4 linked regions of the Drosophila melanogaster genome follow. The protein of the gene in region 4 interacts with the protein of the main gene of each other region in a biochemical or structural test. Each region holds a gene or a part of one and is shown on either strand. Other genes may lie near its edges. The genes, in order: dpr1, dpr2, dpr7 and DIP-kappa.

Evidence for each region.
Region 1: the proteins of DIP-kappa (region 4) and dpr1 form a complex in vitro, tested with the Drosophila melanogaster proteins (one study listed by BioGRID).
Region 2: the proteins of DIP-kappa (region 4) and dpr2 form a complex in vitro, tested with the Drosophila melanogaster proteins (one study listed by BioGRID).
Region 3: the proteins of DIP-kappa (region 4) and dpr7 form a complex in vitro, tested with the Drosophila melanogaster proteins (one study listed by BioGRID).

Annotation. Positions count from the first base shown.
Region 1 is NT_033778.4:20,694,953-20,702,541, reverse strand, and holds the start of dpr1 (defective proboscis extension response 1), read right to left. Parts: upstream 4,060-7,589; 5' UTR 3,357-4,059; coding exon 3,272-3,356; intron 1-3,271.
Region 2 is NT_033779.5:10,960,128-10,967,372, forward strand, and holds the start of dpr2 (defective proboscis extension response 2), read right to left. Parts: upstream 4,027-7,245; 5' UTR 3,099-4,026; intron 1,241-3,098; 5' UTR 1,098-1,240; coding exon 959-1,097; intron 1-958. Other genes in the region: Tmem214 (transmembrane protein 214), read right to left, coding at 5,478-5,592, 5,665-5,783, 5,866-6,282.
Region 3 is NC_004353.4:245,705-256,407, forward strand, and holds dpr7 (defective proboscis extension response 7), read right to left. Parts: upstream 7,626-10,703; 5' UTR 7,497-7,625; exon of another isoform or gene 7,310-7,496; 5' UTR 7,250-7,309; coding exon 7,120-7,249; intron 7,008-7,119; exon of another isoform or gene 7,007-7,007; coding exon of another isoform or gene 6,955-7,006; intron 6,467-6,954; coding exon 6,351-6,466; intron 5,822-6,350; coding exon 5,611-5,821; intron 4,540-5,610; coding exon 4,486-4,539; intron 4,433-4,485; coding exon 4,330-4,432; intron 4,274-4,329; coding exon 4,086-4,273; intron 4,032-4,085; coding exon 3,895-4,031; 3' UTR 3,853-3,894; intron 1,525-3,852; 3' UTR 1,420-1,524; downstream 1-1,419. Other genes in the region: CG1674 (uncharacterized protein), read left to right, coding at 1-59; RhoGAP102A (Rho GTPase activating protein at 102A), read left to right, coding at 9,813-10,703.
Region 4 is NT_033779.5:13,712,527-13,720,120, forward strand, and holds the start of DIP-kappa (Dpr-interacting protein kappa), read right to left. Parts: upstream 4,795-7,594; 5' UTR 4,495-4,794; intron 1,786-4,494; exon of another isoform or gene 1,641-1,785; 5' UTR 1,613-1,640; coding exon 1,447-1,612; intron 1-1,446.

The sequences.
Region 1 (7,589 bases), on a different chromosome or scaffold from region 4:
GCTACACAAAGCTCTGTTAAACCAATGATTTGGGATTTGGGATAGTTTATTATTTTGAGCCAGATTTAAATATGTTTCATACATCAGTTAAAAGATAACTTTGTAAAGTGAATAAATTACTTTAATAAATGACTTCCAGATTTCTGTAATCCCTGACCATCCTCAAGTACAGTCCTTGGTCTATTAAATGATTAATGATGCCATTCGACTTTCCCTCCAAACTCCTTGAGCCAAATATAGTCTAGAGTCCTTCCGGTGGAACTTTTAACCACCCATTCATCACAAATTCCTGTAAAGCCATATTCCATTAAAATCAACAACGGGCTAAGTTTGTTTCTTCAAGCAGCTTTTTTTTGGGGGGTGAAAACCAAAAGTATGTTTATATTTATACGCATAAAAAAAGATAAGGTACAAATCTGGTTGGTCGGCCTTGATGAAGAATCCGTCGGGTTTTCACGCCGCTGCCTGTGTGAATAACCTGTACCCGCCGGCAAACAGATCCTGCGAACCCTTGAGTATGTGCTTTGCATACTTTGAGGCGCCGCCTCGTCAGTTTTTCATCGGATAAAATGAGAACGAAATGGATGGCAGTACGGTGGATGGATGGATGGATGGGCATTGCGTGCTCTCCTAGGCGTTTGTCTGGGCCAATGCGTCGGCTCATTCATCAGTCTGACACCGCTGAATGATGCCGGCCTACGCTGAATTGTTTCGCCAGCAATTATATGTATATGTATATTTTCCCAGCATTGCTTCTGTATTAACTGTACTCAACGGAAAATCACGTCGGTTATTATCATTTTTTCGCCATTGATTCATTTTGCTTTCCTTTTCGGCGACATGGAAAATATTTACAAAAATACTTAATAGTGGCTGCGGGGGAGGTCAAAAAACACGGCACATGCGAGTTATGCGGTGAAAAAGGGCAAAATCGTTTGTTTGGCTTATATGGCAAAACAGCTGTGCAAATAACTGCAATTTTGCATACAGAGTGACACGCACACACACACACACATACAAAGAGCCAAACCGCAAGGGCAGAATTTATTTATTAATAAACCAACAAACCAAATAACACGAGCTCGCGAAAGGACACGATCGAAAGTTTTATGAATTCATTATGGAAATATGCGCATGCATTTGTCGAGTTTTTCCCTGTCAATTAATTTGAGAAAAAGAATCAAACAGCCGGCCGAAAATTTGCCTCAAAAAATTCCAATATGCATATATATATAATAAAAATAAAAATAATCTGCATAATAATATGCAAATTTAACTATAAAATATTGGTACTTAAAAAGTGAATATGGCTAATTGTCAAAGTTGTCCATGCTAAAGTAGTGAAAAATTACATTTTAGATTTTGACTTGTTAGCCTTTTGCAATCAACTTAAACCATCTTTATGCCCAAAAACTTTGTATTAAATAATTTTAATTCCAATATATCATTACAAGTAATAATCATCACCTTTGTGAGAGAACAAATAAAACCCAGACCAAAGAAAATCCTTGGAAAATCGGTTGCCCAGTAATTCGATAGGAATCTTTTTTGATTGCTTGCCTTTTTGCAGGTTCTGCAATTGCCAAGATGAGTTATTTCGTCTGTTTGTCTGCGCTTAACCAACTTCAAGTAGCTTTTAGCCAAATGAAATGGCCAGACAGATGCCAATGGGCTAACAAGATAGGCGGGTAGAAGGCAAAGAAGCAGCCAAGTCAAAGGAAAGCAGGACGAAGGAAACAATTTGCGCAAAAGCGAATTGCATTCGGAAAGTATTTCATTTGAAAATTACAAAGCCCAGACGAACAACTGCCAAGTCAAATGATGGAAAATTGTATAAAAATGCAATTTACTGTTTTCAGAGATGACAAACGACGAGCTGAAAACGGAAAGTAGAAAATTGCTAGCCGCTGAAAGCTAAAAAGTGCAAACTTAAAAGCAGCAAACAGGCGGCTAAACCCCAAAACTGAAAAACCAAAAAGCCAAGCCAAGCCCAATGGCAATAGTTTCGTGTGTCAACTGCAACGTGCCACATGCAACGCAGCTGCTGCTGCTGCTGCGCAAGCGGCAACAACATCAAGTGCAACTGCAGCCAGAAGCATTTTGGCCATGACCAAGCTTCAACAGCATTTTCCAAGTGTCTGCCGCTCGTTAGTATGTGTTATTTTTCATATTTACTTTTTATTTTCCCACATTTCTATCTCTGTGGCGCGGCGCATCACAAGCGCGTGCTTCTCATTTGATGCATTGAAAGTGAGACTTGTGCCCCACTGTTGCAAACTATTATATAAAACCGTTTGCCCAGCCCACACGTTGCATGTGGCATTCGCACTCGCACTATGCGGCCATTCGCCATTCATCCTCCTGCCCTTCAGTTGGTCACTGGACCAACCTTGTGGGCTGCGAAACTAGGACTGCAAAACTCTGGACAGGAGTGGGTCACGAATGCACGGAAAATCAAATAGCCGGAGTACTTAGTTGCATATATGCTTTTCTGTAAATAATAGTTTTAAATGCAGATGATAGTAGACTAGCCTTTAAAACATTTTCTAACTACTTTTGTATGTGATTGTATCTATAAAACTAAATATTGTACAATAACAATGTGAGTATTTCAAGTTCTTACTTCAAACAAAGTTTAAGTAGAATATTCTAAAAGTGTTGTTAAATTCAATCCAAAATCCAATATTAAAACATTTTGTAATATTATATAATTTAACAGAAATATACTTTAGCTGACTTTGTTAACTCATCTTAACCCAAAAAAAAACATGAAGAGTTCGTATAAATACATATATAATATATGCATTAAAAACAAAAATATTCTAAAACCAAGATGCGGGGGGAGCACTCGTTTTTCCCTCTGTATAATGTTTCATTTTGTTGGTTCTCCACTTTTTGGGAGTCACACACAGATGGGCATTAAATGCTTCACCTTTTGACTTGCGCCAGGGACAAAAGGGAAAACTTTTGCCGACTCTGTAGCGGAATTAAAATTCTTAGCACAAAAATTAAAGAATTTTCAATTCGCATTCGCCCGCTTTCCAGGCCAGCGAAAATCGCTCGTTTTCCGGAAATTAGACGGGAAATCCTAGGCGACAAAGGAAAGTCTTTGGGTTACAACGGGCATGGTGGGCGTGATGGGCGTGGTGGGCATGGTGAGCATGGGGGCAATTAGGTGGGCCAAAGCGCGGCGCAAACAAATTAAATTTAATTAGAAATTAAATGAAAATAAATTGGATTATTTAATTAAAAAGCCCGACGCACAACTCACCTCTGAGCAAAACCATCGACAGCAGCAGCAGCCAGCCGATGAGCCAGTTGAGTAATCCGATATTGGCTCTGGATGGCAGGGACATTGTGCTGCTGTATCTGTATCTGTATCTGTGTATCTGCGGTTGTTATCCGCAAGTTTATTGTTATTACGCTTGTAGTTGGCACGCGATCCGGATCCGGCGAAACGGATTCCGGTGTGGTGGGGGTGCACCCGGGTGGTGGAACGTCACTGGTCAACTAACGATTCCGTCAAATTAGAGCCCGGCAAAACTCTCGGTTAAGCTCTGCCTGGGGAGCAATGAAAGTACTTTCTCCGCTTGGCCCTGTTTTTGGTTCGTTTTCACTGAGAGTTGACCTTTTTTTCTGGTTTTGTTTTTTTTTTCTTTTTTGTTAATCTGCTGCGAAATGAGCTTTACACAAGAACTTTTTTTTTTGTGGGCGTGCGAAAGGTTTTAACGGTCTACGAACACTTCAAACAGATCGTAAGCCCAAAAGCCGCTAAGCAGTAGGCTACACTTTGTGGGCGCCTCTAATTTATGGCACTGTGTTTCACTGTACTCAGTCGCTCGGTTCAGCTCATTACGGCGCCCCATGCATGTGGCTATTGCATTTTAATCGCCCCGTCATTAATTCGCCATTAACACGAAGGCCCGGGCACTCATTAGGCCCACTTTTTCGAAACCCTCAACACTGAGGAATATATCTGAACAGGATTTAACTGGGACTACAACCCGCGCACATAAATCAAGAAACGCGTGCTTCGCCTTCGAGTCACAGGATGGAACTGACTGGTAATCGGCGCTCGGGCACATGGCGAACGCCTCGACTTCGGCTAACTTCGGCACTCGGGCAAGTTCGCATATATATTGTTCACATGTAAGAGCAAAGAGAACTAAAACTGCAGAGCCGCTCTCTTCAGTCGGCTTATTGGAGCACGAAATTACCAAGCAACTTTGTTTATATCGAATATAATGTCTCAGGTAATAAAGCACTATTGCAACTGTAATAAAATGCTTATGAATAATTATATTACAGCCTTTACTAATTATTTAATTATTATTAAGACTCATAAAACCTTTTTTTTAACATATTAGTATTGTATTCCACTTTCTAGGGACTTAGTTTTACCATTCTGCTTTTAAAATGTAGGGAAATCATAAAAGGAAATAAATTGTTCTACTTCTTAATAAATGAAACTTGCTTCTTGTTTTTAATATAATATTTAATTATGCCCACTACCATTTAAGCTGCTAAACAATAAGAAAACCGCGCAAAAATATCCTGCCATAGGTCAGTTAGGGATACTCTTATACTGCCGCTCTTATACTCCGCAGGCCTAAAGAGAAAATGTCCAGTGTATGAAAACTGTTACAGTTCCACGTTCTCTGCAGTTCAATTGAGCGGCAAACAAAAAATGCATTTTTAATTAATGCTCCTAATTAGCACTTTTTAGTGTTTTTTTTTTTTTCTTTTTCTTATTTTTTGTTTATTTGCTGCGAATTTCCCTGAAGCGTTCTTAGTACTGGGACTCATCGCAGCCACCCAAAAGCACAAAGGAAAAGCACACACGAGAATTTCAATCAATTGCGAAACTTTTAATTACAAGTCAATTTAATTTTGTGCAAACAAACAGATCAAATGCACTCGATAACACCCCCCAAACCCCTCGCCTTGCTATTGGTCAAGCCGAAGCGTTTAAATCAATTAAATTAATTAGCGACTGTGAAATATATACATATATTTGTGCAGATTGGCCAGAACTTTTTCCGCCTGATTATTTTTAATTGATTGGCCCAGCTTTTGGCTTTCCCAGCTTACGACTTATGGCCCACTGCCCAAACATTGCCAGTATTATGCAATCAACTTGCGGACTTATAAATACCACCCAACCAATCAAGGTCGCCGCAATTAGCGGCCCCAAAAAGCGATTACTACCATTCGATAACCGAAGGAGGCGTTCAGTCGGGGGGGCGTGGCGATGGAGGCACGTGTCAATCGCAAGCCGCTTATAGATAAAGTAAAAGGCGAAAAAGCAAAGTCAGTAAACTTTTTAATTGAAACAATTTGTAAAATGTTGCCCAAATACCATCCCATTGTTCATCATAGACAGAAATAAAGAAATGGCCAACTTTCAGGACTCGCTTTTAATCCTCCATTTCGCGGAGCCTTGAGCGTTCCATTTTTACTAATTCCTGGCCTCCTGTGTGATTTCTTAATTGAATTACCCTCGTCTGATTTAACCGAACGGTAGCGGCGAAAACAGTTATTGATTTTCTATATTGACAAAAACAAGTTACTCCCCACAAAAAAAAAAAAAACAACAAATCTGGCTCGGTTTATGTTCTATCTTTGCTTCAGCGAAATCATTATTCCAATCAGAGACGCACGCCCGCCTCACAATTGGATTTGGATTCGAATTCGGATATGGATCCGGGTTCGGAATGGGGAAGTCTGAGTTACCAGCTAAGAAGGGTGGGCAAACAAATCAAAAATCTATTAAGACGTGCGATGCGGCACATTCAGGCTCAACAAATGTCCTTGCGGTCACGTGTCACCGCGAAGTTGCAATTGTGCACACAAAAAAAATTAGTGGTCCATTGGCTAAAAATAAATCTTACAGATTTATTATTCATGGCAGAATAAATCATCACTGAGTAATAGCACCAGAAGTAACTATAATTGTAATCTATGATCCTTTTCAATACTGCATCGTTTTTTTTTTCAAGTGTTTAGGCATATCTCGACGCCCATTGACAAAGCATCCCAAAGAGACGAGACCTTCATTTTGGTGGCAGATATGAGGTTGCGGCTGGTTTCCTCCTGAAACTGAAACTGGAGGAGCTGGAGCTGGAGACGGCTTCATTAGGAGTGCAGCGTTGGAAGAGCTGACCCCTTGGAGGGCAGGAGTGGGTTGGTATGGTATGGTAGATACAAGGGTGGCAAGTGCCATTAATTGAAATGCCAAGCAACAGCTCGTTGGGGCAACGAGGCATGACCACATTACAGCCGCACACACACGCGTGCTCGTCACTCCAACTTGTTTATACTTTCCGAGATGGTTTTGATTTTGGGCAGTGGGTATGCTTCGGTATCATGCGGTCCACTCCCCCCCATTGGGGAAAACCTATAAAACAAAGGAAACCAAAGCAAAGCAAGCAAAACAAATGGGAGAGAGAGAAAAAAAAGCAAAGGGAGCAGAATGAAATGAGCGGCAGTGCAATAAAAATCAAACCCGCATAATTTAACACAAGTGCGCGCACTCAGAACAGCTGACTCTCGTCCGCCGGGGGAGCACCAGCCACCCACTCTGGTTGCCAGCCACCCACTTTTTGGGGCTGTAGAAAAAAAAGCGTGTGTGATGACACTCAGGAAAACATCTCAATTATTTGTTGACTCTGACACACCGCTCCCCACACTTGCCCCATTTTATTATCAGCCCAAGAGCATCGGCATTAACATTTAAAACAATTCTCAATGTTGTAAAAAGCAAGTGTAGCACTGTGGCTGCCTTCGAAGGTCGGCTAACATATACTATTCGTATTTGTATATCCGCCTTCACGATTCACACGCCTGCATACTTAATGCCAGCAACAACCACAAGGAACGCTCTCGACCTCTGACCCCCCCAACAACCAACTAACCATTACATGGTATAGAAAATCACTAGGGTTGCCAGCAAGTAAGCCACACAACAGTTTCTCTTATCGCTCAAATGTCATCGACTGTCGGCAGTGTTTGGCTTTCGCTTTCCCATTCCTTTTGACTTTAGTTTTTCGGCTTTGGTATAAGCAACCCAAAAAGAAAAAAGAAAACAGTGGAAAAGCACCCCTCTGGCCATTTAACCCAACCCCCTGCCCACCCAAAAAGGGCGTTCATTTGTGAAATTCTAGCCATGCCCAGGGGCGGCACTTGCGGCATTTAGTTAGTAATTTAGCGCATTTAGTACGCATTTTCAGCCGGGGGATTCGAGGGGAGCAACTGCCCTTCTGGGGTCACGGCCTCGGTCATTAGGCTCAGCCTTTCACTGCGATACTAAAGTGCACAATAATTGTAGTTTGCTGCTGATTCGTTCATGAATATACAAACATACAGTCGTCCTTTCAAACAGGAAAGGATTCTTATTTTCATTTCAAAGTAAGGTTTAGAACTTATTTTTACATTACCAAAATGTACATGGAAAACTTGCGTATTTACATAGCTTTTCTTAACTAGACAGTTATTCCTTCAGATTTGAGTTCACCATATAGATGTTCTACTGTCCATAGCATATGTACGCACAGAGATTGTCCGAATGGTCGTTTAAAGGGCCAGAGATA
Region 2 (7,245 bases), 2.8 Mb from region 4:
GCAATGCATTTAAGACGAAGCTAGTGCTATGGGAATAAAATATCAGATAACTGAGAAATAGATTTAAAATGAAGGATTTAAAATTTATATTTTTCCATGGATTGATGAAAGAACTTTAGACCAAGACTTTACCTTTTTATTCGCCCACAGATTGCACAGCATTATAGTTGCTTGTTTTTTTTTTTGGGTACCGAAAGTAAGCAACATGGCCAAGTAATGTCTAGCATAAACATAAAAATCCATCGTGCGTTAGCCTCCTTCGCCCGAAAGCCACAAACACAACAGAGTTTGGGGCTCAGAACCGCCTCCAGACCTCCCCCCCCCCTCACCCCAAGAAGGAGGCGAAGGATGTGCCCCGGCTGGGTGTCTGCAGATTAGGATGAAGGTCGCGATGGCTCGTCGGTGTCTCCTGTCAGAGTGCTCACTCTGCTCTTGGCCATGATTTAATTAAAGTCTACATGTGCTAAGTAGATTTTATTCTTTGCTCGCTCATTTGGTTTATTTGCCTATTTTTTCGCCCTAGTTTTCTGTTTCGCCTGCTGGCCATAATTGATTTAGGCATTTACTGCATTAGGCCAAAAAAAAAAGGCGCTCATACACTGGGAATGAAGTCAGGAAGAGGAAAGATACCATATTTGATTTATCAAGGAAACTAAGTCATTTCTCAATAGTGACTTTTCTGGATATATATTATGCTATTTACCGTCTGCCTCATACGAAATGAAGTCAACTAATTAACTTGTGCCTCCTCCTTGATAGTCAATTTTGGCTTACAATTGTGATTAGTAAATACGTATATGATATGTAAAATTTTAATAAACTTAACTACGGCCGTTGGTCATTGTTAATTTATAGCACATACATTCATAATTCATATCTTAGAGATGGTATTGAAATATGCTTTTATATGTGCACTATTAAATTGAACATGTGTGAATTGCGAGTGAGATCTACTTACACAACGATTTGACTGCAGGATGTTGTTGGATGGCAGGACTCAAGTGTTGTTGTTGCATTGTCCAAGCTCTCGAAATGCTTATCATTATTACGAGGATTGGCGTTGCGATGCAACCGAAGCATTTTCCCTCCATAGCCATGGTCCTGCGAGCCGGATCTTACTTATTTATATTTATTCACCTCAATGGCGGTTAGATGAGTGTAATTTAGCCCCACAAGTTTACGTATTTTGGTTTACATTACTGCTAATGGTTTGGTTCCTAAATCGTTTTTGAAGTGCATTCTATAAAGAGAGGGAGGAAACATTTTCATTAACGCTATTATTTGTGAAATATTCATGAAAAGCACTTGAAATGAATTAATTTGAATTATTGCAGCCATTCATTGCACTGCTGCCTAACTTAACATAAATCATTGAAAAATTATAAAAGTGTTTTTTTTTTTTTTGTGACAAGAATATAATTAAATAGTTATATTTTTTTGCAAATTCTAAAGGATTCAAGCCATATATAGCCAAGTTTATAGTTGGGGTATGTGAAAAACCAATTTCGTCCATCGAATTCCATGTTCGTACAGCATTTAACTGAAGCAAACATTGATATTAACCGTAGGCCTTCATTATAAATGTCCTTCATTCACATCATTTATCCTGTATCAAATTGCAACGGCATTAATTTATTTTTACATTTTCGGAATGTTTACGTTTGTATTTGTTAAGCCCTCATATATTGTCTGTAGTGGCAAGTTGCTTATCGCCACCATGTCACAGGAGCAGTTTTAACCAACGCAATTTGTATATTTACAACCCGCAAGCCGCACTCAAATAGTTTTTTATTTGGCCATAAAACACATAAATTGTGCAACTGAAAGGTGTAGCCTTGATCACTCACGAAATGTGCAAGGGTCAAAAACCAATTAAAATGTTAATTTCTCCACAAACTGCGCTTTGTTTCACGTTACAATCGTGCTCCACGAACGATCCAAGAGATATTGTATTCAATAAATATCGATTCCATGCCCTTCGACCCACCCTTCAGTTATCATTACCACAGCACTTAAATGATTTCAACCGTTGCTGGAGTTGTGTAATGAGTTGTTGTTTGTTGCGATGCCAATCAAACAATGGTGGTAAAATTAACATGGAATCAGCTTAAAATGCGCACTGCAATTGTTATTTTCATGGCATCGTTGGTTAATTGAATTTAGTGGTTTTGGATATGTATTGTTACTTTTTGGATAATTTAATGCCAAACTTTCATCGCGATAATGATGCATTTATAATTTTAGGCTAGTCCATTTTAAGTGCCACAAGTACAGTCTGCTGTTAATTAATGATATATATTGTACTTCTATGGCAGAGTCACTCAAATTCAACTAAGCCCACTTATCAAATTTAGCAACTGGCTTTTGTCTTCCGTTGTGTACTTCAGGCATAAATGCAAGTTAATTAAGCAAACCTGGTTGCACATTAATCACCTGGACACCCGGCCAAAAAGCCACAAAAGCACCTGGAGACCACTTGATCTTTAAGGAGAAAAGTCAAGGCATAAAGCTCGAAAGAAAATTCAATTAGAAAAACACGAAAGGCGGCCAAAAGAGCGAGGAAAACGGTTCGATTTCAATGTCTTCTTTTTTTGGGGGCTGTCCCCGGACATATGTATATACTGCTATTCCCTATTCAAGCCATTCTTTATAAGGTTATAAGATTAATGAGAGACAAGCTCATCTAATACTATTCCCTCAAGCGGCACTTAATTAATGCCACATGCAAAGAGTCCTGCGAGGTCCTTGGCCTTTGTCGAGTCCTTTTAAAGGCAGCTGGCAAATTGTCCAAGAAGTTTTCCTTAAAATTTTTTTTACTGTCGTACTTAACGAGTTTTTACTAAAACAAGGTCGGCCTTTTGCCTTTTTGCTTAAATATTAAATGTAATTATACTTTATTATATAGTATAATATGTGCAAAAAATGCTTTAAATCAAAGCCAGTGCTAACAAATGGATGTGTACATGTTTGCAAAAGTTTTAAAAGTCCAAAACTACACCAATTATTGACTGTCTGTGGAAAGTTTATTTATTGACGGAACAACTTTGACCTTTCCGCATCACCTCATTAACTTTTTTGTGGTTTAGTGAATTAATTACCTTTCCTACTTCATATCACCACAAGAACTCATTAGAAATGAGGACTCACTTCAAAGTCAATCCGTAACACACGTGCTCATTAGGTACATATTTCCGATTTTTCATTCTGCCCTGGATTTCAGAGGAAAAATGCGAGTGAACTTCAAAAGCAGATAAGGCGAAGAAGAACTTGGAAAAACTTCCATCTCAACTTGGAAAAACTTTGATTTAACATTTATTTTTGCACGAAACTCTTGGTTGTTGTTTATGCAACTGTCTGGAGTTTCAGTTGAAGTCTGTAAAAAATGTGTTTTGTTTTCTGTGTTTCAATCCTATCGCTAAGCGTATAATTTGCAAGAAACCTGAGTAACAAATGCATTTTCGATTGGCATTAAATCACGTCGCCCGTCCGAGTTCATTTCCGATGAGAAATAAATGTTTTTCTCTGATTTATCTGTGCTCCACTTTTCGAGGAGGGAAAATCGAGCCACATTGAATGCGAAAGAGCAGTGTGGGTGGGTTAATATTAATGTACTTAAAGCTGTTATTCGACTCAATTTTGGTGTCAGCAGCAGCAGGGCGAATATTTCCCATGAATTTAACCATTTAAACATCCAATGTTAGTTTTTAACAGACAATTAATTCAGGGGACAATATCTTTCACTGGCCGCATAAAGCGGCCTCCAATTCGAAACTTCACTTTTGCCTCAAGAGCATTATACACTGAGCGAAATCGAAGCCGAACGATCTTAGTGTCGTCTCGCGCACAAGTTGAAAAAACAGATGCGGCAGTTGGGAAAGTTGGGAAACCGCGACACCGCTATCGAATGCGGCAACTACGAGATATCCTTTCGTGGCCAGGACCACAATCTGCGATAAGGACTCGTAGTCACATCCGCGCCAAAGGACGAAACACGTGCGCCGCGACTTGAAATTCATTTGATACTGCGGCATCCGAGGCCGGAGCTTTTCCGTATTGTTGTTTCCTCCGCGCTGCAAGTAATCGTTCCGATGTGAACCGAGTCCTGCCAGCCACGAACAGGACGACGAGTTGGTTGTTATTGTCACTCCCGCACTCCGAAAACGGGTGACTTTGCGGCGAATTCGGGAAAATCCTTGTATTTGAAGGGGCGACTGTCTCCAAGATGAACGTCTAAAAGGGAAATTTTGCGGGGAGAATTTAAGCAACTATAATGAGAACCCTACTTTGTTGTACCAATTAGGAAAAGATTCTATCCAATCATGCCATTTCATGAAGATACCAAAGCTTATAAATATTTTAGAAATATAATTAAAACTTCTTCAACTTTAAAGGTGTTATTTTTCAAATACGCAACAATTTTTTGTTGTTTGCACTGCTTTGAATTATGATACACTGCTTAGGAATTTCTCTTCACTGCTTATATGGGTAACAAAAACCTAGGGAAATTTTAGTTCTTGGACTGCTTGCAAAACATTTGAACTGCTTAGTTTCGAGAGAACTGTTCTAGAAAAATTGCCCAGGAAATATTACTGATCTAAATTCTAGTCTCTTTTGGGAAATAAAAACTGCTTTCAAGCCGCTTTTCCAATTTAAACAAGTGTGTAGTGCAAGCCATGCTGCCAATGCCAACAGGTGTGTTCAGAATCTTACGATTCATCAATATGCCCCCAAAAACATAATCAAGCACAGAAAAACATTGAGAAATACGCCTTTACTTCACATCTTTCAATTTTATTTTATTTATGCAAAATCGTGTTTTCCATTAAATATACAAATGAGATTTAAAATCAAATCAAAAGTATCGCGCTATTATGCAAGTATTGGGGAGGAGTCTACAGAAATGTACACACAAATGCAAGAAAACTATGAATAAAAGTATAAAAATATTTGAATCTATTGTTTGCCTTCAAAATGCAGTTGGAATTGTTAAGTTCAGTTAACACAATAGAGTTAACACTTCGCGCATCGCCACAAAAAACGCACTTTAATAATTACAATTACAAAATTTCAATGGTAGAACTTTTCACAAAACTCTCATGCCGTTGTAAACGAATTTAAAAATAATGTTTTCTCAACTTGGAGAAAAATGTTTAAACACATGTTTTACAACAGAAAATTTCTCGTGTCTTTCACTAATTTATCAGTATCGAGGTTGAATTTACTAGATTGTTAGTGTACTATCGGCATCCACAAAGATTTGCTCGTATTGCTTTTTCTTAATTAAACTTGACGAGAAGTTGTTGATAAATGTGAATGACTTCTTGAGTTTCGACTTATAGAACATTTTCCGGTTTTTTAACTTTTTGCGAAAAATTAGGGCTTCCTTCACTATTTACTATGACGCGTATTCTGTTTGCATCTGCTGCAGCTGCTGATGATGTTGCTGTTCGAGAAGTAAGCGTTCCTGACGCTTAAAATCATTTGAGCTTGGCGTATGCGTCGACCTTTTTGTGAAACTGGTTGTAGTACTCCAGGGCGGCGTTACGCGTCTGGTTCAGCGCCTGATTGATGTTCTCGGGCGAGAGACGGCCACTAAACAAAGATCACAATCATAAGGGATGCATTCTCAAAGACAACAAAGGCCAGGCAGGCAGGCATACTTACACAAGCACCTTTTCCTTGATGAGCGCTGCAGCCTTTTCATAGCTGCTGGCGGCTAAATCGCTAACGCCAGCGGCAAAAGCTTCGATTTTGCCAGACGAATTGGGCACGTATTGGTCAATCTAAAATATAGATGGAACGTATTATTAATTCAAAACTGGTTTGCCCATGACCTCATCTTCATGGCGACTAAAAGACACTTACGAACTTTGCCACAACGGGCCATTTGGCGCCAAAGTATCCCTTGCCGTTCTGGTAAGCGTTGCAGGCCGCATTCCTCGCCAGCTTCCACAGGTCACAGGTGGTCTTGATCACCGGCTCGGCGTACGGCGGCACATTCACTTCCGCCCACTTGTAGCCCCGCGCTCCGGCCCCCATGACCGTGTACCAGGACTTCTGGACATGCGGCAGGACTCCGGCATTTTTCAGCACCTTGCCGGTGGCCGATTTCTCGAACACGCCCTTGCCGTTCACCTCGGTATCGTAGTACAGAGCTCCGGCAATCAGGGCGATGATGAAGATGCTACCCAAGGTCCACTTGCAGCATCCGCATTTCTTTTTTTCTGCCGCGGCCTTCTGTTTGTTCTTCTTCTGCTGCGCGCTGCTCTTCTCTTGGACGCTCTACATAGTACAAAATTAGAAAATTATTAAGAATCTTAATTGCTGGGGATAGTTGATATTGTGGAATCATTTGATTGAGTTCAATTTTTTACCTTTTTGGCGGCCGGCACTGGTTTGCCGCTCTGTTTGTTACTTTTCGGTTTAACCTGAGCCATTTTCTAACTTAATTTCAATGAGTTTCGATTATGAAGAGTATTTCTAGATTTCCTCAGCTGTTCGCAAAAGATGTTTAATTATTTATTGTGTTTATCATTGCAATTGTGTTTGCTAAAAAGAATGACGAGACTTTTTGAGCTTTTAAACTGAGCTTTTTTTGCGACTGAGCTCGATGACCTAAGATTTAAGAGTAAGCTAAAACCGCGAGTGAGGATGGGGATAATTAAAAATTGGAAATACGTAGTTATAATACCATTTTGTCCAGATTAAAAACATTTATATTCAATATGCAGGCTATGCTTAATTGGTGTAGATACTTTTTTTTCAATTTTTAGGAACACTTGTATAGGTTTTGCACAAATTTAATGAAGAAAACATGTATTCATTCATTGTGATGGTCTTCAAAATTAGATATATTTACTAATTACTTTAAACGTTGAAAATGAATGAACTAATGAACTAAATACATTAGTCATAATGATTATGAAAAAATGTAATCTTTTTTAAATTTGTTACTTTCACCATTATTTAAAAATAACACACCTTGTCTCTAAATTAAAGTATCATTTACACTCACAATAGTTTCTTCTGTGGACAAAAGAGTTGAATGAACTATGCCCTCTAAATTTCGTCTGTTTTATGCTTTCGGAGTGAAAGAAAGAAAGAATGATGGAAGGCCAGCGAGAATCAGGGTCACAGTGGACATGCCACGTGTTGAAGCAGCCCAAATCTTCAAATGGTTCTCTTTCGCCCCCCTTTTTGGACCATAGAATTCGGAATCGTGGCGTTGCGAGATTTTCAGGTGAT
Region 3 (10,703 bases), on a different chromosome or scaffold from region 4:
AACAGTCCTATTCAAGCCAATACAACTTACCTGGAAATCTACCGTACTCTGATTTTTAGGTTGCTTTAGCAATTAAGCGATTTACGACATATGCCAACTACTTACACGATTATAAAATATATTTAATGTGTTTGTTTATTTGCCTTTGAAAATTATAATAGTACTACATCGAAAAATATATGCAATTGTTTCACCTGCCAAGCTTTTTTAAGATAGGAAAATTTTAATCCTTTTGATGAAATTAATATTTAAAGATGTTTAAAAATACCTCTGGCGCTTTATTGGTAAACGAGGATTTGTGGATGACTTTTATTTTACGTTATATCAATTGCTTTCACAAGACGGAGCTGGAGGTTTTTCCTTTACTCTCTTGTTGTTATTCGTTATTGGCGTTACTTCATGGTATATTACAGGTAAGCGATTAGGTTTAAACAAGTGATTTATGTTTAAATGTTAAAAAAACCTTTGGTTGTTCAAGCTATAGTTTAGAAGAGTATTCCGAATGCTCACGAATATTTATAAATATTTTTTTTGGAACCGATCCCAACGCTTTCTTTTACCTGGAACATTCAAATTATAAATGATAATAGCCCATTTTGCCTTTATCAAGCAGAAAGAACTGACTGCAATAAACACAGTTGAAAAGGTAGACCACAAGACAGCCCGCATTCTTTTCAACGCTTACTATGCCAAACATCATACGCCCTGAAACCAGACATATAAACCAAATATGGTGGCCGTGCAAGACAAAAAAAGCTGATTTCTTTCAGAATTTCATTTATCTTTAAAAACTAGCAAGCAATCCAGAGTAAGCGATGGCACATTATTTACTTATCTTTATTTTCGCGCCAACATTTTAAGCATTCTTCTGTCATATAAGTCTCATAATAACAATTCATTAAAAAAATTTGTTTGATAAAATTATTTAAAACCCCAAAAACGTAAAAAATTAAAATGAAGTATTCTCCAATATCGTAAAACTGCTTAAAACTCTAAATTGTTTAATGTTGTACGGCACCTAGGAATTGCTTTTTTGGTTGAACACCGAACAAACTTGATTCCGCAACATACGTTTTCATTCAGTAGTCGTTACTGTTTAATTTAAATCATATTTACTATAATTTAGAGGTATATATATACATCCCAACTGTCATTCATGTTGCTTGGGGTCCAAGATAATAGCCCACATTCCGACACACCCTATGTTCACATATATTGACCTCTTTCTCAGCTCTCCTAAATTAACATAACACTTTAAATTCACAAGTGACTGAAGTGCACTGAACTAGTCGTTCAAAAGCAAATGTATAAAATAAACGATTATGTCGGCGTTAATATAGTGATTTGAAATAGAAGGTATTTATTTTTATGTGTACTTACTCTTCCAGATCTATAACCTTACCGAAAGACTTAATGTTTATTATAGGTTTTTATTTCATAGTACTATAGGAATTACATGTAGTGTTCGTATTTGCATAAACAGAGCGCGATTTTACAATGGTTTCTCCGTAAACACGCGGTCATCTGAAAAAATATAATGTATTTCATTTCATTTATTATAATTTAAATAAATTAGCATTGCCACATGACCCACACTTTTCTCTTTAAAACAATGTTTTAACTTTACTTTAAACTTTAATGTCTTGGATGTTGTCTTGTATAGGGGCGGCTTGCAATATATCGGAGGAACTCGAACCTTATTCTTAAAGATCATTAAGCTGTAGCACATTAAAAACTTTCTTAACTATAAAAACTATATTATTAAAGGAACACAAGAGTGTTCTGAATGATTTATTTGCGATATAAAACATATTAATCGTATCCGCCATTATGTTGCAGGAGTAAAGATCGGACCAATTAAAGCCAGCTATAAAATTGTTTAGCCTACGAAAATTTGCCTTGCGAAAACAGTGAATTCGCTTGGTTGACTTCTCTGAATTTACTTATACCTTACCTATGTCGATTGCCACCTCGAAAGTAGGATATGGATCTTGAGGTTGAGTAAGAGGGTCTACCCTGGACAGAAACACACTTTCAGGACTTGTTACAAAACATAGATCCAACAGTCGACCAAGAGAGTTTGGAATATAATTAACTAGCGACAAAGATAAGTCGAGCAAGCCGTCAATAAAGTCATGTTGTGCTAAAGGGAGAAGGATATTCGATTTTTCTTCTGGGGACCCCGTTGTGCCAGGTATATTAAAATCACCTAGAACTACCAATTGGTCCCTGTCAGACAGTTTATTCAAGATGGACTGGATATCGGACAGATGATTCTTATATTCTGGGAATTCAGAAGATGGCGGAATATACGAGCACGTAATATAAACTGAACTGTCGGAAAATTACAGCTTTACACATAAGAATTCCGAGTTACGGGAATCGCCCAAAAGTAACTCTTCTGACGAGAGGATAGATCTAACCGCAATTAAGACTCCACCTCCCCGTCTGGAGGGACGGTCATACCAAAGACACTACAATGACAAGATGCGTAACGGCCATACATTGGTTTGGCACTATGCAGCCGCCACTTTTTTGGTGACGGCCAAAATTGCTCTCTGTCCGCTAGCTTACGCCGAGAGCGTAAGAAATCTTAAAATAGAACTTGCTTGCTTGTGCAAGTAAAAACAAGAGACGAGAACGCGTATATGTGTGCGTGTTGTTCTAGAAGACGATTTCGGGCCGAAAATTTTAGTGCCTTTGATCTGTCCCTAGCGTAAGAGAAGTTACACTTTTCCACTTTTATATTATCGGCTTTTGTTTTGTCTTGTATATAAGACAATACATCAGACAATGTTTCATCACGGGAAAGCCGAGAAACGAAAATTTGTTTATTTAGTGGAACCACCGCGAGGGGTTTTGGTCCTGCAGATTGTATTTCTGAAGTGCCAACTTGTGCCGTTAGTCCGGACTCAATGTTCCGTTGTGGTGGTAAACTAATCGGGACAGGTGGAATCACTGGTTAAGAAACCAGTGCAGGCAATTCGGAATTTTAAGCAATCACAGGTTGGGGTCAAACTGCACAAATCACAAAAGAATCACTCGCGAAGCGAACGGATCTTTAATAATTATGTTTAAAATATTTGATAATTAAAAAAGATTATTAAAAACCACGGCTGGTTGGACAAACACGAAATAAAAATCGGGTCGCAAAAAAAAAAACACGAACGTTCGCTTTGAAAGCTAATAGACTTTTTGAAGGCTTAATTATTAACATTGTATTTATACAGGGATAAGAGAACCTCACATTGGAGTTGATTAGGTTCGGGGATTGAATCTTAATACATTTAATTTAATTATTCTCAGCTTGCAAACCAGTTTATCGACAAGTAAGAAACGATGTTCCGGTTCCGCCTGATAAACAGCTACATCTTATATTGCATGTCGTCTAAACCCTTGAAGTTAGAGCTCCTTGTCTTCGTATCATAGATATGTATTGTGAGGAGTCTTAAAACTCCCCACAAATCCGGGGAGCACCAGCGAAGAAGGCGAAGGTTAAAGTCAGCTCTAACAGGAAATAGTGGATCTTAAACCCTGGTAAAGCGGATGCCGTGAACTAACGGTACCGCGCTGAACCTTGGACTCGAGCCAGAAATCAGTGAACTTTTAGTGGCCATGGAAAAAAAATGTTTGGCAACTCAATAAAAATTTACAAGACTAATGAAAAAAAATATCAAAAAATTTTGCAAAAGTGTGGGTGTGGCAGTTTTGGGCGGTTAGAGTAGGCGTGTCAACGCGTGGTTGAAAATACGAAGGAAACTATTCCTTTCTTGTAAGCAAAGAACAGCTGGCAAAACGCGAAACTAGAGTTTATTCGTACTATATAGGGTTGATAAAAATCTATTATCTTACCTTAATGTTATTTATATATTATAATGGAAATTATATTGGTAGTCATCTTTCTCTTAGATACATATGCTCCATAAGACTTGAAATATATAACAACACTTTTGTTGATATGATAGTTATCATTGCAGTGAAAGCCCTAATCCGAATGGCAGAACTTGTTTGCATTGCTGCAGGCTGCTCACCTGTACCAATGAAATATTTAAAAACATATTAAATTGAAATAATTTTATGTTTACCAGTTAATACGTGAACCCTAACAGAAGCTGGAATGGCTCCATTTGGAACGCATGTATAGTTTCCAGAATCCCTTAATGAAGCTCGCGTTAGCATCAATCGACTCGTTGTTCCTACATCAGTTTTTTCCGTTTCTAAACTTATTCCACCGCGAAGTGAATCGAAGTCAACAACTGATGAGCCATGATACCTTTGATATAGTAAAATAAGTTGTTAAAATCTCTTACAAAGATCATGGTTTCTTACCAAATCACAGATGGTGCATGTATATTAACAGAGCAAGCCAGGGCAATAGTGCTATCCCGTTTTACATGAATTTCCGTAGATCCAAGAATTTTTGCTCGAGCCGCTTTAAAATATCACAGATAATTTTAATTTTAAGCAAGCTATAAAAGGCCTTACACTTTGTGTCGTAAAACCGCTTCTTAGTTTTAAGGTCTTGAAAGTCGTTGTCAGCTAAAATTTTATACAAAAGTAAATTTAGTATGAGTAATTAAATTAATACAACATTTTCTGGGGGTAAGCATATTTATGAACTCTTCCAGGTGAAATTAAAACCTGAATCAAACAAAAACCAGAGAATGAGACCCAAGTCGGTCCGAGAATTTTTAACATCTTTCAAGAATATCGATTGAACTTGGGAAAAAAGTTAATTTTAATTCCCTAAGGTGTGGGCGGGATAGATTTGGGCGTGTTTTATGGTTCAAAGTGGGCGTAGGTAAAATGTTTTCGGCATATCGGTAGAAATTAGCAAACCAACTGATTTGTGGGAGTTAGAGTGGGCCTGGCAGTATGTCTGTAGAATCTGTATGCTAATCTCAAACTTCTAGCTTTTATAGTTCCTTAGATCTCGACGTTCATACGGACGGAAGGACATACTCGGGTATTTATCCTGAATATAGTTGGAAACGCTTCCTTCTGTCTATTACATTAAAAGTAATGATTATAAAAACTCCTCGACTTTCATGTACCGTGCGGGTAAAGTTTTTGGTCGGTTCTTAAGTAGGAAAGCTCAACTTTCTTTATCAAGTTCTTTATCAAGAAAATGTAGATCAATTCTCAATATTTAGTTAGTTAGTTGTTAAAAAAGCTGAACGCATGTCAACTGTGAAAATTGACTGATTTTGTTGCTTTCTAACTTAAAATCGCGAATTTTCGAAAATGTGTTTAATATCAAAAGTCGGGGAATTTTTTGTAAAATTATCAAAAGAGTCAAAAGGTTCCTTTTGCTGCAGTCTTTAACCTGTTGAATTTAGATAAAATAGGTTTAAACAGTATAGATAGCATTTGAATATGCATTTCCAGCTATTTATTGCCCAATACTCTAGACTCATTACTTTACTAATTTGTGTTCAGATTTAAAATTTTTAATTGCCAAGACTTGTTGATTTCTGCCTCTTGATTTCTGTATTATTTGTTATGGTCGCTCAACGACAAAATTTAGTTTTGTATATACAGTACTCGAGTTCCACAGTTATTATTTTGTTTTTTTTTTTTTTGTTTGTTAATAAATGTTTATATATATACCTATTACTTGCAAACAAATTGCTAAATTTATTTTAGGCTCGGTATTCACTTGACACTCATATACGCCACTGTCTCTTGGCTGTGCATAATCAATTTTTAAGTCCCAATCTTCACTGCCTGGTGGATGTATTACAGAAAATCGTTGATCGCCGGTGTAAGTATAAATGTTCGTTGTAAGAATGTGAAGATCCCGCTTACGCATCCATGATACCTGAAATAATTAAAAGTATTTATAAGAAATATTAAATAGATACGCAATTTTAGGACAAGGGAAAGTTAAGTCCTCCGCTATCTGATAACCCTTTCACTATTTCAAAATGTAATCATTTATTCCTAATCCTATTTGTTTAGATATAGGCAAGCTTGCTAGAGAAACATGAGACTTAAAAGAATTTTTCACATTTTCAAATTGAGAACAGGCCTCGAAACAAGCTTGATCGATGGAAATGGAGGCAAGTTCCCACGTAGATTTGGGAGGAGAGTTGAAAAGGGCTAGCGAAAAGACAGCGCAAGCTAGCAATCCTTGGGAGAAAACTGCCTTTAAAAAATAAAACGTTTTCCTGGTGTGTCCCCAAGTTTAGTTTGAAATTTAAGGTTACTTCCCCCTCAAACAATTTTCCGTCACTAATTCGTACAGTCGTACTTTTTACCATGTGACCGAATGTGCTCTTCAAACGAATAAAAATGTTTCGATATAATCCTATGTGTAAGAATAAAAGAAAGAACCCATAATGACTTACCGTGCGATTTCCTTTATTTTTAACCCGACATCTTAATATTGCGATTTCGTCGACTACGGCCGACACATTTCTTGGGCTAATATCATCAAAGAAAGGTCGCTCCAAATTGGTTAGGTCTAAAATGAATTTGTATTTTATGTTAAACGAAAACGGATGCTAAATTATTCAAGCCGAAGCGTATATACCCTTGCAGGTATAAACTAAAAATAATTTTATATGCCCCTTATCTAGAAGCTAAACATTTTAATTTAAAGTTTCGATCTTTTTATGGACGGAAGTGTCGGTCAAGACTAAGAGCTTGCGACAACTATATATACATGCGCGAAATCTTTTGCGATAGGTCGATCATAAAGAGTGGTTACACTTGTTGGTGAAAGAGCTTGGGGCGAGACATGAAACTGTTGTCATCTTTTAGAAACCGAAGCTCCTCTCGAAGGATGTTTTGCAAAGCAAGCTTTCAGGTGGTAAAAATACTATGGGCAAAATGCAATATTAAGATTATTTTTTAGATTTAAATTTAGCATAATTTAAATACAATGGCTTTTTAAACATAATACTTTTGCGTATAATTTCACAATTGAATATTGTTAAGTACAATACGTACATACATGTATAATTTTTGTCTTCGTATTCAGGAATGCATTATATGTTTTCATTCTACACGTTGCAGAAGAAAATGGGTCCAACCAAAATTAAAAAAAAAATCCCGCAAGGGTAAAAATATATTTATCATTCTAGTGGGAAACTTTTAATTTAAAATGTATCTTACCGTTCAGGCTTAAATATGAAGTTGCACTAATGTATTGACACCATATATTTAAATTCAAGACTAAAATAATGAATGGTTTGATTTTAATTGGCGAATTATTCAAGAATGTGGCATGTTTGCCACGCGACATGTTGCTTTAATTCATTTGTCTTTCACAGATATGCATTATTTAGAGTAGAATTCCATATACCTATGTAGTTATAATAAATGTTAAGTATATAATTAAGTTAGATATTAAGCACACGCGAGAGCACGTATTGGCGCAAGATTTTTATTGAGAACAACTTTGTATCGGCATCGATTTTTTATCCTTTTAATGGACTTTCAAATAATATTCTGTTTTTCGGTATTTAGATCTGTGTTTTTAATATACATACAATTATACTTGCTGGCTTCAATTTTTATATACTTTTTTTAGTCTTTACACTTATTTCGTTGGCATCGACAATTATTATTTCAACGGTAAGCTCTAACAACCCCTAAGCAGCACGTTTTAGTGTTTCTGTGAGGACGACTTGTATACAGATTTTTAATATTCTGCAACCCTGAAAATATTCGCGCATGCCCATTGTCACATATGTACATATGTGTTATCTTACAATTTAGGATAGATTCTATATATTTATAGATTGCGTAGGTTATAATTATTTGTATGTATATATTTTTTAATTTTAACATTTTGAAGTCATATACTAAGTACTCTAGTTTCCTTTTATTGCTAAGACTCAGTAACACGGCTTAATAATATAAGCAATGGGCGGAATACAAATGGTACACATCAATTTGAGACTGAGATCAGATAAACGTGACAATAGCACCTTTACCCCTTAAATTTCGAACAAATTTGTTACTACTGACAGTTACATTCTCAAAAACGGTAATGGTAATGTAAGCATACATTGTGAATTTATCCTAAAAAAATGCATAAGTTATTATACCAGTTACTCGTAAATTTAAATGATATAGAAAAGGAAACGTTACCCGTTACTCGTAGAGTAAAAGGGTATACTAAAATCGTTACAAAGTATGTAACAGGCAGAAGGAAGCGTTTCCGGCTACATAAATTATATGATATTATTATATTATATACATTTTTATTCTTGATCAGGATCAAAAACCGAGTCGATCTAGCCTTATCCGTATGAACGCCGAAATCTCAGGAACCATAAAACCAAGAAGGTAGAGATTTAACATACAGCCCATATTTTAAAAAAATTGTTGGATGTTGTTCCAATATTTTATTATTCTTGTACATTTCTATCGATTTGCCAAAAAACTTTTAGCCCCGCCCTAAAGCCCCAAACCGGTCACGCCCACTCTACTATTATTATTAAATAGTATTAACTATTATTAATTTTTTTGTCATTTTATTCCCCAATATCTATCGATATCTCAGAAAAATGATAAAATTCCGCGTTTGCATTTACACTAGCTGAGTAACAGGTATCTGATAGTCGGGGAACTCGACTATAGCATTCTCTCTTGTTTTAGTTTTAAGTTGACTTGTTTGAAAATTAGTGTAAGTTAGTTTAGTTCACATAAAGTTCAGTTTCGCTCCCTTAAAAACTGTCACCGTCCTTGTTAACATCTAGGTGTTTCCTTTTGAAAATCAATTCTTAAATTCAAAATGTAGCTTCACACAGATAGAACTATAACTTTTCAACTAGCAGCTTGCACAGAGCATGACACATACATAAGGCCAATTATTCGCTTCGGACTAAACATCTGCAAAAGTGTATAATTTGTTTTCCTTATAGAAGGCAACACCATTTCAGGTCAAGGTATTTACATGAACCTAATGTAATGTCTCATCAGCTCTACCGCAATAGTAGTATTATTCTTAAATAACAGTACATTAATTGCAAACGAAAATACAAATTCCAATTGAATTTAGGTTTGTCCGGTATAAGCACGACAATTGGGATAACAAGGTATTATGAAATTGTATACATATGTTTTTGTACAAATCTTGTTTGTAAATATAAACTTAAAAAGTAAGAAAAGTAAAGAGTTTGTTTTCAGAACGTGTATATGTATGCACATTAGTCGATCACAAGCGGGATGCTCTTGTACCATAAATACATTCAAAAATAATATCTCGTGAACTTCGAAATATTTTTATGTTTTTTTTTCTGAAAATAATGTTCTCTTATTATGTACACGCTATCTCGCCAGGCATTTTGTGCTATTTTTCGAGGTTTAACAGTGTCTAAATAGAAAATAAATAGTATCAATAATATGACATATAAAAATTAAATAACAAATAAATAATCGTAAACCTCAAGGTGTCATAGTTACTATTTGTTGATAAAATTATACAGAAGTACTGGTTATTCCAGAATTTCAATATAAATATTGTGTGCTTTGAAATATAAATAAAGTCACTCACATGTGTAGATACCAATTCTATTGTACATATACGAAATCTCTCCTGAGAAAATCAAATATATGTACGCATTTATAAATAAATTGGTGTTTTTACCTAGTATATTACTTTGCAACTCTTCGTATAATTGTTAACCTGCCTTTTGAAAATATCGTTGTGAAAATATGCTATGTGCTGATGCGGTGACAATTACTATGAATCCAAATTAGTGTAAAACTTAAACATATGTACTAAAAACACCACTATTATGATAAAATCGCAATAAAAAAAGACCTGTTGACCTTTAATCTCTGCGTCAGCGTAAAATATGGAATTTCCAAAAGAAAACGAAGAATCTGTGAACTGTTTGAGGAGCCCCATGGCGGCCGTTAAAAAAAGGTCGGGGCCGTTAGATATAGCACTTGACGAGGCTAACGACGTATCGAAAATATGGTCGTTGCCATTAGGAAATGCCTCCAGCATGCGTAAGCCAATGATTTTTGCGAGTGAGCACTCCGAAGGAGTGGCTTCTCCAAATAAAGTGCGTCGTCGCAGCACAAAAGACAAGGAAAAAAAGCGAGAGCGCTGGCTTCTAACTCGAAAAACCTGGAGATATATGACAGATGCAGGCCGTAAGCTAATTCCTGATGGATACCAAACAGGGTCAGGTAATCATGACCTAATTGAAGATCAATTTCAACGGGTGTGTTTATCTGAACCAAGTTTTATTTTATGGAGTCGCAGAACATCATACCCAGGAGCATTCAGCTGTTCTAAGCGGAGATTAAAACCATTGTTGAGGCATGCAAGTGCTAGCCGCAGAAAACAGACAGTTGATGCAACCAAAGATTATCATATTGCCGATCGAGTCATCGAATTATTGCAGACTTATCTTAAACTTCGTGATGCATACAAAACCACAACTTTACTTGGAACTAAAACAGTTCGGCCAGATCAAACATCATCACCCAGTGCACAAAGGCCAAACTTCAAAAACAATGGTGACAACCATCAAGTGATATCATCCGGCACATCTATTCAAACAGAACTCTTGTCCCTTCTTAAATTGTTATCTAATTGCCCTTTATTTACACATGAAGGAATTCAGCTTAAGTTTGGCGATGCTCCACTAAGCATTCTCGAAGACAAAGTTCTTTTGAAAAAAATCTATAGCGCGCTTAAGAAACAACAGCTCCATAGGACGCTACATTCCAAAGAT
Region 4 (7,594 bases):
ATCATAATATATCTTCACATACACGCAAGCACAGCTATCTCGACCAGAGTTGAAGTGGAAATAGGAAAGTCGCTGGCCGGGGAAATGGCACTCAGCTGCAAAACATTGGCCCAAACGATAAGTGACAAACATGGTAAGGCAAACAAATGTGTATTTTATATGTTTGCCGAATGGAAAAGGCGAAGGCCAAAGATGCACAACTGTCAGATAAGTGTGGAGAGCATTTTGCGGAGTGTCTTTCTGCCCGCAGGTGACATGTTAAACGTCTTGTAAGCATTTGCATTTCCATGCTCATAAAATAGAAGGCATAAGATGGAAATAAGAAAATTTCCTTCCCCCTTGGGGAACGAACGGGTGGAAAATGTTTCTGGAAAATATCTGCACAATGCATATATGTATGGATGTGTGTATGTGAGGAAACAACTGAAATAGCATGACGTGGCAGGGGCCAACATCTTTTATCTGCAGTTCATTCATTTTGTTGGCAGCGACTTCAAAAGGGTTGAGTTGTTGGCTTTGGCTTAAAGCATATTTGATTATGTCACAAAATATCCTTGAGCGTTTTCTACGCCGTATCTGTCGGCCTCTTCGTTTGCTTAGCCAAAGATAAATTTCACAAATATGCAAATAAAACACTCGCCCCTTCCGAACGGCCGGATGAAAATGGAAAATTGTTTTCATAAATATTTCAAATATGTGCAATTTTTGTTCTTGGCCAATTGGATGTGAACAACCTTTTGAAAAAGGCAGGGAAACTGCTGCAAAGCAGCAGCGAACAAAAACTGAAATTATTTTCTCTTCCGAAATTGCTTTTAATGGCACATACATTTTTCTGGGCAGATCTAAATATCGAGGTCCATTAAGTTTTAATAAAAGAAAGTTGTTTTACCTGTAACTGTAGCAAAGGCTTGGCCAGAGGAGGAATAAAATGCAGGCTTTTAAAGATTTTAAATTTTAATCGATATCAATAAAAAATATTTTTCTTTTGGAATTTTCAATGAAGGTCTTTTTGATAATATACTGCACACATAATGGTCTGAGTCATTTATTGAAAGAAAACTTTTGCCAACTTTTTTACCCAGGAATCGTCCAAAATTCATGAGCGTTGAGAACTGCCTAACTTAATTATCTATACACATATTATTTCGCTGATTTATTATTAATTCGAAAATTACTTTTCTTATTACTCAGACAGCTAATGAAAATCGTTTTCAAAATAGATTCCACCAGCTTTTGAACCCCAATAGAAATTACGTTTTGCAAGTGCTCAATTATTTTAATTAGCTTATATTGAAACCCAGTAAAATATCACTTGGTATTTAGAGCAAAAATAAGTTCCTCTATTGTCACTATACTTCGACTTTCCCCGCTCGGTTCATCAGTCAATCAATCAATCAAACTAAGAAGCCCATCAAGAGTGGCTCATTAAATTATCAAAGCACTTACCCTTTGAGGGGATTTCGGCGAGGGTGGGCGTGGCTGTCATCAGCATGGTAACCGCGGCAGTGGCTATTATCGTGATGGCCAACTGCCGGACGTTAAACTCCGCCTGTAGGCGGAAGCGGCGGCGTGTATGTGGGCGTGGCAGGCGGTGGGGTCCTGCCATGGCCATGGAAATCCTTTACCTTAATTTTCTTCTTCTGCAAAGGTTAATGTAACGGAAAAAGTTCAACACTGCGGCGGACAAAATGTTGCCAAATGTTCAAGCCTGATATTCACTGGCCGTCAAATGTTTTCACCTTTAATCACTTAAACGTCGCGTAATCAACAGCAACAACAAGGGGGCTGTAATCAACACCAACGGCGATTGAAATGGAGTGTCATGATGGCGATTATGATGATGATGACTGACTGGGTGGCCCCATGACGATGACGAGCCAGCTTGCCACCACTTAACTGGGGCCTCGGCCCCAAAGTCAAAACCCGAACGCGGATCCGGATGCGTGGAGTGATTTGCTGCTGCTGTTTACACGCATTTTTCCTACATAGTTTGGTGCCACGGCCTTTTGACTTCTGACTTTGAGCCAAGTTTGTTTGCTTAACTTTGAGTTTTGAGTCCTCATTCCACGGTACCGTCGAAATTCATTGCCTGTGCGTTAATTTGAAGCGTTTAAGACTTCGGCTCAGCCGGATTAAATATCTTCAGACAGCACACAGACAGTAATTTGATTTGTCGGCGGAAATTCAACATTAATTTAACATTGCCCTTTAACCTTATGGTTGTGCAGACAAATCTTACACAAAGAAGAACGTTTTTTATTCAAACTTAAAAGGAAGATATAGAATATAGCATTTTTTAATGACAAGCTAACAATTAAAGACATTTCAATAAAGATATAATTTAAACTTAAGCCTATGAATAATGTTGCATGTAAAATTAAATGGAAATTATGTAATGAATTTTAATTCTGTAAAACTTTCGATTGCTTTTGTGTAGAAATTTCAAAACTTTTTCAATTGGATTTGTGGATATCGCAGGAATGTCTTGCTGCGGACCCGTGAATTTACTTTCCTCAAAATCTCAATTTGCAACGTCAAGCTGTCAACGCTGTGTTCGCTGGCAAATCAAGTCTGACAAATGAAATGATTACAAAGTAAACAGCAAACACGTAACACACAAACCACCTGTCAGAAACTTTTGTGCACCCACTTTTTTTCGCCAGTCGAAGAAAAAAGGACAGTGGCAGGCAACATTTCACAGGCGGAAAGCCAGAAAGGAGTATGATCGAAGAGGCATGGCAAAAACAATAACGACGCCATCACAACACTGACACAAACGGGAAGCGGAACGTACCGAAAATGCAACGGCGATGCCAGCAAAATGGCAATGGCAACACTTCCGTTTCCGCTTCCGACGCTGCGGGCGACTTTCTCGCACAGTTGGCAAAACGTTGAGCAAACTCAAACGCAAACTCGAAAGCAAGTGCGACGGTCGGATGGCGCAACATAACAAAGCTTGTTAGCGTTGCTGCCCCGCAGCGGTGCAACAAGCGCCCCTTATTTTATCCCAACCTCCCAACAAAGGGATTGCGGATATCGCAGGGTGAAGGAATCCGCCCTGTTTTTATGTTTTTTTTTTTTTTTCGTTTCGGGGCATCAACCAGAACACGGAACAATGGCGACGAAAATATACGAAAATTTTAAACGCTTTTAATATTAAAGCGTCCGGTATAGAGACACAAACGTCGAAGAACCCGGCGGCACAGGACCACCAACAAAATGCAACACGGCGTGCAACAGCAGCAACGTCGGCAGAGGCATGCGGGGCATGCAAAAAGCGGCAACTGCATGAAAATGCCACACAAAACCAACAAAATTTTAGGATAGAGCGATGGGAATTTTTTGATAAGACTTTATGCTTCCTACTAAAAAGTTTTCAATTTTGCTTTCTAGTACCAAGTCAAATGGTATAATTTGTAAAGTAAAAATATGTCTGAAATTATGTTATTTAATTTTACACATAATTAAACAAAAAAAAAATATTTTTAAATTAAAATCCTTTTTAATTACATAAATTACCCGCTGTATAATATAAATATTCCTACACAGTGGGATCTTGTAATTTTCTGTCTATATAATCCTGGTTACCCTGTAAGCGAACCATCTTCCTCGAGTAAAAATTCGGGTACACTTAACAACCCAACTCCTGGGGCACCAGGACTTCTGCAATACCCATTCCATACCCTACTATGCCTCCTGCCTCTTGGCTGGGAGTGCATTTTTTGCCGAGTTCTTAGACTGCGCGACCCTCTTCGTGACGAAAATGTTTCGCTTAACTGGATTTTCAAATATTTATTGCAACAAATTATTTTGCTGGTTACATGGCGGCTCTTTGTTTGTGTCTCAACATGGCCAAACATCCCCATCCCTTGGCCCCTTCTCCGCAGTCACAGTTCGTAAGCGGTTTTTATGGCCATTTAGTTTGTTGCATTCCAGTAAAAGGATTTGGTATCGGGATATTTGCGGTTTTTTGCACAATTTCTGACAAATTAGGGTATTACAGTTGCATTCAATTTATTTCGAGTGTAAAACCCATATATAATGGTTAAATTGCTTTGCCGTGGCAAGTGCAAAGTATTTTCGTCATGAAAGAAAGTAGCGCCATAATCGAGTGTTTAAAATGAAAAAAAAGAATCTTAAGTAAATTAGTCAGTTCGTATGAAATTGGTTAATTATTATGAGTCAAATAACGACAATAAAATGGTTTTAAGCTCTAAAAATGTATTTTTACTGTAGTAAAATAAATAATTTTACTTAATTAATGTAAAAAACTAAAACTTTTAACCTTGGACGATTAATTGTACTTAAGTCAAATCTCCAATAGGTGTAACTGAAAAACAATGAGCCTATCTATCGTCACCATTAAAGGACCATCACAAAAGTTTTTCAGATTGCAAACAAACGTGGCACATGTCGTCAAAAGGTTGGACCAGCACTTTAGAGCCACGTTCTGTTTTTTTTTTTTTGCAAAACAACAAACAATTTGATAATTACTTTGAATTGAGCACGCAATTGCGAATGCAAGAGTAATGGTAAACCGAAGTCGCACCGCACGACAAATGCACAAAAAACTTTCACTCGCTCACAACTTTGGCGAGGTCTGCCAAAATCCGGCAAATGACAGCGGCAGGACCAACGACAGCGGCAAGGATAACGACAACGCACCGAGTAGCATTTCGCGTAGAACGCTCGCGTGGAATCGCAACTCGCACGTCAGATAGTTTCGTGGCGACCCTCGCTGTGGGCACAGTCCGTCCGTTCAGTTGAAAGCCCGATTCACGACTGAACGGTCGGACGACTTCATTGGTGGAAAAGCCACTGCAATAATGGCCCCAAACGACGATGCCAATTCGTGACGCCAGTGACTTCGGCTTTCGGCCGCCTTTCGGGTTTTCGAAATTCATCCGTTTCAGAGAAGGAATGAACTCTCGGTGCCGGAGAGTTGTTCACTGGAAAGTCCTACTACTATAAGCTATTTACTCTTCTCTTACGCTTAAGATTATATGGATTATTAACATCTCATTATGCGTTGAACCAATAAGTGTGTTATATCTTCATTAAATTAAATATTATGTTTAAAATCAAATAATTGCAATGATTTAATACGAATTCTTCCACACATAACATCAATTTTGAATTTAAAAAAACTTCTAACACAATTGATTTTAATAAAAATAACTACCCCAATGAAACGTTTGAGTGAAAACATTTGAATGACCTAAGAGAATGAGCCAATTCCTACCATGAACAATTACTTCTGACTTTCCATCCCAAACCACCTACGAACTCATTCCATGCTCAACTTTCACAGCCAAATTAACACGCATATTTAAAAAGAACAACTGAATAAATTGGCTTATCTGGCGAACACACACTAAAATGCCCGACCACTCCAATGGCCTCCAACCCCTTGGTCAATGTCAAAAGCAGCTACCACACAACTGAAAACTGGCCTCAACAGACTGGTAGCTACAATAAAAAATATTCCACATACGCAGCGTTGGCTGCTGGCAACATTTAGATAAACATAACTCGGAAACTTAAAACCAAGTCGGGGGCAGATTGGAAAGGACGAGCCATCTGACCGATGTTGAATCCATATACGTAAAGAGCCAAATTCCCGGCAAGCAGTTTTGGCCATGAATAAAATAAACAACAACATCAACTGAGTTAAACAGGAAAGTAAAATAACTAATAGCTACTGTCCCTGAGCTCTCAACATTTTTGAGTGGTTAGACTGGTTTGAGTTAAAGCTAGAAAAGTTTTATCAGGAACTGACACAAATTCCCCTTGACCGTCACTCTAAAGTGAGCATTAGGAAGAGTAGGATTGTTGGTTATAATAGTGGCTCGGGCCCAAAAAGGATAATCCAATGATGTTGACCAGGACCTTTTAAGTTGACCAACGGGTCATTGTTTAATACTTGTGCATATGAGTTTATATCTATCTACTCCTTAATAAAGTTAAGAAAATTAATGGATAATTAATTAAGAAACTGCTTAGTTATTTAGCAATTATACACATTAAATCATATAGTTAAAATGGTAAGACTATTATAGTTTCGGCTTCAGCTATTGAGTTAATGGCTTTCGTCTCAAAATACTACCAATCTCCACTCTCACGGTAGTCGTCTATTGCTCCTTAGGGATCAGCATTTAGCTGAAATCTGATAGCATTTTCTGCTTTCTGCTGGTGTCATGCTGGAAACGACACCCAAAAGTGTGGGCATTAAACGAAAGTTTATCTTTTTTTTTTTTTTGCTTCCGATGCAATTGCAGTAAATTGCCAGCACAAAAAGAGGAGTTGTTAGAGGAAACAGAGCCCTTCCCAATGGCGCACTGAACGGCTTTTCGGGACCATCTTGGAGCAATTGATTACTACGGGCAACTGCATGGGCGTGGCATGTGGCATACTGCTACTTAGAGCGCATTAGCAACAATCAGCCGAAGGAAAAACAAGCTGATTGCATTGAGTGCGAAAATTGCTGCTGAACTGAAGTTAACGGCAAATATACCCAAATGACAAAATCATGTTAAAAGCGATATCCACAGCCAAGTTCTTAGACTTATTATTATTATTACTGGCATGGGGAATGAAAAGACGTACCTAAATGATTAAAATAAGATATTCAGGTACGAAAAAAAAAAGCCCATGTTCAATTGTATATGTAACTAACAAATCTTACACCTTTCCACCCAAGAAACTCTTCAACTCGAATAAAAATATTCTTTTTCGCCGTTAATCAAATAAATGAGTACTTAATAAATATCATTACATTTTTATTACATTCTCGCCGCAAAGAAAATAAAATTGATGTTGGTCCATGGAAAGATACATAAATTTAATAAATCGTTTAGCAGTTTTTGGACAGTTCAGGTGATATATACAAGTGGATCTAGACTGGTTGGGTATTCCGTTTCTTTAGAAGGAATAAACCTCGTTATATATTTCTATTTATATTCTTGACATTTAAAAACATTTAAAGCTGTTCTTAATAAAAACATATACTTAAGAAAAGTTCAGAAAAGTCATTTACACTAGTTTTTCGTACACACAATGGTTGCTAATCCCGACCAACTCCCTGTGAATCGATCATGCGGCGCTATTGAAACCTTTGCCAATCTCCGCTAATCAAAGCTACCCTATATTGCCTCCCACAAGGACAAATCAATTCGTGCAGGCAACAGCGTCCTGGGAAAGAAAAATCCCACCAAATGGCGTTTCCATTGCTATTTTCTGGGCTCCAACTGGCGAGTTATGGCCGCTATTTCCGTTCGGTTTTCACAACTCAACGCGCCGACTTGTTCGCTTTTCCTTTTGCACCTCTAGGTGGTCCAAAGTCCAAGGACTGGGCCAAATCGGTTAGCACAGCTTCCAGCGGATTTCAATTTTATCGCCGCCAATTTACTGCCGCCGTACTGTGTTTTGCGTTTTGCCGCTGTTTTTGTGTTGGGCTGGCCCATTCACATTTTTAGCCTTGGCAAAGAAGGCCGTCGCTGTTGCACATTTTTCTCGCCACATTTTCCTTTGTGCTGCCCTCGGTGATTTACCTTTGGATGATTAGTACTGTGCTATCGAGCTTTACTACCACTGA